Linked DNA regions of Kluyveromyces lactis. The main gene of each other region encodes a partner of the protein of the gene in region 2 in a complex. Links are inferred from orthologs where the notes say so. Each region holds a gene or a part of one and is shown on either strand. Other genes may lie near its edges.

What was found.
Region 1: PAM17 (region 2) and PAM16 share a complex: the UniProt entries of both Schizosaccharomyces pombe proteins name them as parts of the PAM complex. The link is inferred for Kluyveromyces lactis from reciprocal best matches to the Schizosaccharomyces pombe genes pam17 and tim16.

The regions. Positions count from the first base shown.
Region 1 is NC_006042.1:1,282,657-1,285,372, reverse strand, and holds PAM16 (import motor complex subunit PAM16), read right to left. Parts: upstream 1,096-2,716; coding exon 676-1,095; downstream 1-675. Other genes in the region: transcription factor HAP4, read left to right, coding at 2,126-2,716. UniProt on the Schizosaccharomyces pombe protein: Essential component of the PAM complex, a complex required for the translocation of transit peptide-containing proteins from the inner membrane into the mitochondrial matrix in an ATP-dependent manner.
Region 2 is NC_006037.1:561,440-564,000, forward strand, and holds PAM17 (Pam17p), read right to left. Parts: upstream 1,292-2,561; coding exon 701-1,291; downstream 1-700. Other genes in the region: SYP1 (Syp1p), read left to right, coding at 1,708-2,561. UniProt on the Schizosaccharomyces pombe protein: Component of the PAM complex, a complex required for the translocation of transit peptide-containing proteins from the inner membrane into the mitochondrial matrix in an ATP-dependent manner.

The DNA.
Region 1 (2,716 bases), on a different chromosome or scaffold from region 2:
TTGTTCTTAATAAACCAATCATCAGTAGTGGTTAGTACTATCTCAAGATAATATTAATACACATATACACCATAGAAACCTACGGTTTCGGTTATCTCTTTTCTCAAGAAGTTTTTCCTAGGTTTCTTCGGAGATCTAGGAACGGCTTTAGTTAATACTGGAGAAGAGTGACTGTTACCATTTTTTAACCCATAGCTGAATGGATCCTGACTAGCCCCAAACAAGCTGGCCACAGTTTCCATTTCGTTTCCGGTTTCTTAGATCAATAAAGTTGGAAGCGCATTGAGTTGGGAGGGGAAGTCTCTTCCTTTTCCCGGTTTTTTGCATCACTTCTTTCTTTTAACCATTATGAAGAGGTCTGGAAAGTGATGATTAGAAGCGGTTTAACAGCTCGCTCTAGTTGTTCTTCCAGGTGTTGCATGTGATCCAGAGGGCTTTGCGTAATGGCTGCCTGAGAGTTTGGATTTTCACTCTCCGTTGTGCCCTTCTTCATGATGGAACAGTTTTCCCATCTTCTAGAGAATTTTTGTATTAATTAGTTGTAGACATAAATCAGCTTCATCAACCACTGATGATATTGTGCTGAACATGATACGATGAGCATGCGATGCGTGTATTTCGGTTTATTTGAACTATTTACAAAACTTATACTAGGCCAGAGAGAATGACCTTACGCTATTTTTTCAACTCCGGTGACTCCGTCGTGGAACTCGACTTCGCTTGTTCTTGATTCAGTTCTGGATTGGCAGCCTTTTCCTTTTCAGCAAGCTCGTACTTCAAACGCTCTGCTGCCCTGTAAATCTTACTCTGCAAGTAGAATGATCCACCTTTCTCTTTATCGTTGATCTCGAACAAATACTTGAATCTTTCGTTGATTTTATCCAAATTCATATCCTGTTCATTCTCAATGTTCAAAATCTTAGAACTCTCATCTAAAGTGATACCTCCGTATTCTGCGCTAGCACCACGGCCTCTAGAAGCATTTGCCGTTTGTTTAGCTGTTTGAGCTGCTGCTTGTCTGTAAGATTCCGCAAACGCACGTCCAAACACCTGTGCCCCGGTGAAAATCACCTGTATAAACGCTCTGTGTGCCATATCCTATAGTCTTGTTGTATTTCTTGGATATGCGCAGTTTACTCGAACTGGAACGGCGTTCTTAGACAAAGCTTAGAAGTTAATCCGATGAGTAGTTTAGTGTTTAATGCTGTTATTAGTTCCAGTTCTTTCTGTTCTCAACTTTTCGATGACTTTTCGAAAACAGAAGGGGTTACCCGGGGATGTCAAGACCAGCCCCACATATTTGCTGTGACACCGTCAAATAACTATATATCTGGTTGACAGCTATGCCTCATTAGAATGATTTAGCTAGTCTACAATGACTACAGATGGAGTTTGTAATTGCATTCGCTCATTCAGGCTTTTTATAGGGTATTTTTATGAGGTTTTAGCTTCTCATTCCACATTGTAGAATGTGGCATCGGAAACGACGCAGGTATCAAGAAATTAAACGATAGGTGATCCCAGCAACAGCAGCTACGCTGCTGTTGCATTGATTGGGGATGTGAATTCAGCATGCTAGTACTAGCGTAGTACTGTAACGGGGAGGAGGGGGGGGATCCAGTTTGGGAGCGTGGCTTTGTATCTGGGGTCATGGTCACGTGATCAATTATTAGCAACTCAACACCCAATCCCCATTTCAAACTTGAGATACCTCTTAGTACTCAGGCCATACTATCTTATGGCCTGAGATATATAAATTCATGATGGCTCGTCTTGATGTATCATGCCCTCATTTTTACCATTGTTCCCCCTCTCTCTCTCTCTCTCAATTTCGGTTTAAATTGAAAAGTTGAGTAGTTAATTCTACCGAAACAAACGACTTCTCCGAAACTAAAACAGGTTCTAACAGACACACAAGGACTCAACAAGCGTGATTCAATCGTATCGCAGGTGGTTCAAACTAATTTAGGTTGCATCTCGCCGTAAGGTTTTTGTATCCTACTTTCAAACGCATACTTCGCAACTCTGGTTACGGCTCCGGTTCCGAACCAGTTAATATTGTTTTCGCTGGTCCGGAGAGAATTCTATAATAAAAGCACTTCAGACACAGAGTAAGAATTAACTAATGTCCAGGCCAGTTTCATTGGAGCCCCTTCACGGACACACTGGGCCTCATCAGCAGATTACAATTGCTCCTAATTTACAGCCGAAGAAACATGAGAAACCCACTGGGATCACGATTCGAACGTCTAGGCACTGGGTTCTTCCACCGAGGCCTAAACCGGGTAGAAAACCCAGTCCTTCTTTATCGATAAAGCAGCAACTGGCAAATGTCAAGGGTATGGCTGTAGAGTCCACTACGCCTGCTTCTGCTTCAAGTACTAATGCCAAGATTAAACAAGAACCTGTGGAATCAGTGAAAGAAGTTGAGAATTTGAGACCGGGATCGAAAAAACACTTGGCTGCCACTGTTATTGATTCTGGTAAAAGTTGCTCTTCTTCTGATCAAGGTACAGTAGCGTCATCTACAACGACTGCAGTCCGTACAGGAGTGCCAACCGCAAGCTCCTCATCATCATCATCATCATCAACTATCCCGTTGACTAACTGTAAATCTACAAACGCCAAGTCAAAAGCAATACAAGTTGAACAGACAACATCGATCACTCATACCCAGCCTAAGCCCATCCGTGCCAAAATTGCACCAGCTGCTTGC
Region 2 (2,561 bases):
AGATTATCGAAGAAACCCAGTTAACCCAGTTAATAAAGGGGCTACACTGCGCTGGAATATAATAAATTGAAATGAAGAACTACTCCCAATTTAGTTGAACTACTAACAGTATAAGAACTGGGTGTGTGGCCGAGTGGTTAAGGCGCCTGCTTCAGGGACAAGAAATGAGCATGCGGACTCAATGCGGCATCAAAACCGTCTCCGTCGCTTTCCAATTGACACATTCTGCTTTACCTTTGGGGGGGCCAAGAAAATTGCGATAGCCGTTTCCTTAAACCTTTAAACAGAGGTTTTCTACGCAGTTTTGTGCGAGTTGTAAGGGGCCTGGTCCGAAAATCAAAAATTTGTGGGTCCTCCAGAAAATCTTCACTGATTGCTTGGCGGCTATTGGGTGCGGGTAGAGCAGAAGTGGATTGCGAGTGACGGACACGGTTACCCGGAATATGCAGGTCTGTTAATGTTAACAGGCGCGAGTTCGAACCTCGCCGCATCCAAATATACTTTTTTTTGTTGGGTATCGATCCTTTTCATTCCGGTTTCTCTGGCATATACCATTACGCAATTGCTAATGCTGATTTAACGAATGTTTCTTTAGATATCAACCACTATTTATTATTTACTATTTACTTGTACTTACGGAAAGGCGTTTCCTTGGGTGGGAGAGTGATAGTCATCATACTTTTTCTGGTATTTTTCCGCTTCACAAGAACTCACTAGCCTTTCTTTTGTAAGAATGACAATCTCTTAGCCATTGTCTGTACTGTGGTATCGAATTAATCTTTTCACCGTAGTAATCCGGCACAGGGTTACTGAAAGATTGTGATTGAGGATTGACTCTGTTCTTTTGGATTTTGGCCAAAAATGAAAGTTGCTTCTCTTGAAACTGTAATAATTTGGGACCGGAAGTGGCCTTAAACAATGCAGTACCCACAATTGGTCCCAATAACCAACCAACAGCAGCACATGTGATCATACCAGCAGTAATTGCCATTAGTGGATCGAATCCAAAGATTGTTTGAGTTGGATCGATTTCCAAAGTGGAGAAGTAAAACCACGAACCGTTAACGAATACTATGGCTGTCGCAACCGAAGAAGCCGTGTTGAAAACACGTTCTTTTTTACGTAGCTTGAAGAATTCTGGCCATGTCATTTCATGAGAAGCTGTCTTACCAGCATTAGTGCTATTCATTCTGATGGCAACGGCATTGCGTGTAACGGCTCTTTTCAAAAGAGATTGTCCATTTAGTCCAACCAAAAGACGGTTCTGTAGATTGATTCCTAGTCTCAACATAGTTTGGGCTATTTTTCCGTGGTATTTGGTTCTTATTGCCTCTGATATCCGAGTATACTACTTATCGAGTAACACAGCAGAAGAATTGGCTGTTTGATGCTAGTTCAAACAGGTGATCTGGATCCACCCCTCGAACATTCCTTATTGAAATCATGTTATAAGCTCATTTGGTAGCTTTCCAAACTTTTTTTTGGAATTGACAAGCTTCAATATCCACGTCCGGGTAATGAAAGTACCGCTTTTTCCAATCTCTTGATCAAATGGTGTTATATCTCGAATAGATCTTCATTTGATACAGATATATGTTACGTCCGTTCATCATTGCATGATACTTTCACTATTCTAAAGCTGTCTATTATAGTTATAGGTTATATTGTTTGCCTTGCACGTCTCAAAAAGTAAGTCTTTCTGTTATAATGTCTGATGTTCTAGCTTTTGCAGAAATAGTGCAGGGCTATATTCAATCGCTAGAAGAACTCAAAGAGACAAAATTCGATAGTAATAGTGAATTGTTCTCTGAAGTGTCCCAGGAACTTGTCAGATCCAAGGAATTACTGCTACAGTTACAGGAGAGGGAGAATATACTGAAATTGAGAGAATCAGGACCAGATTCAGAGTCACCACCATTACCAGAGATTAATGGTGATATAGTAGAGACTTTGTCATGTGTTATCACAGACGATAATATAACGAACGTATCACTTGTTGGCGAAGTTGCCATCAATGGTACCAAGTGGGATCAAAGAACGAGTGATTTGTATATGAAATTCAATAATGTTAGTTCCGTTAAGATTAACGACACATTCCTGGAGCCAGTGGATGTGGTTCAGAATATATACAAATTGAAACGTGAACGCGAATGGGACAACGTGGTTACAGGATTAGTGAAATATGCAGTGACAAATTTACCACAGGTTCAATGTCCGATTCTAGTGACACCCGTATGGCAGTTCAAAGAGGCCGAGATCATCTCAATGATCAATTTAAGACCTTTAATTCCTGTCAATTATACACTATTGAAAGTTTGTATAAAGATAGGCACCAAGGCCCAAGATATTTTATCTAAACCTACTGGATTTTATAACCAAGTGGATGGTACCATCCAATGGGATCTGCCCATGCTGGAACAGGATCAGATTCTGATTTTGAGATATAAAGGTGGACAACGAACCGATGTTGTCACATCTCAAGCAATTGGGCCACCGCATGTTCGTATAGATTTTACCGCATCACAGCTGTTGACACAGGTTAACGTGGAATACGGATATTC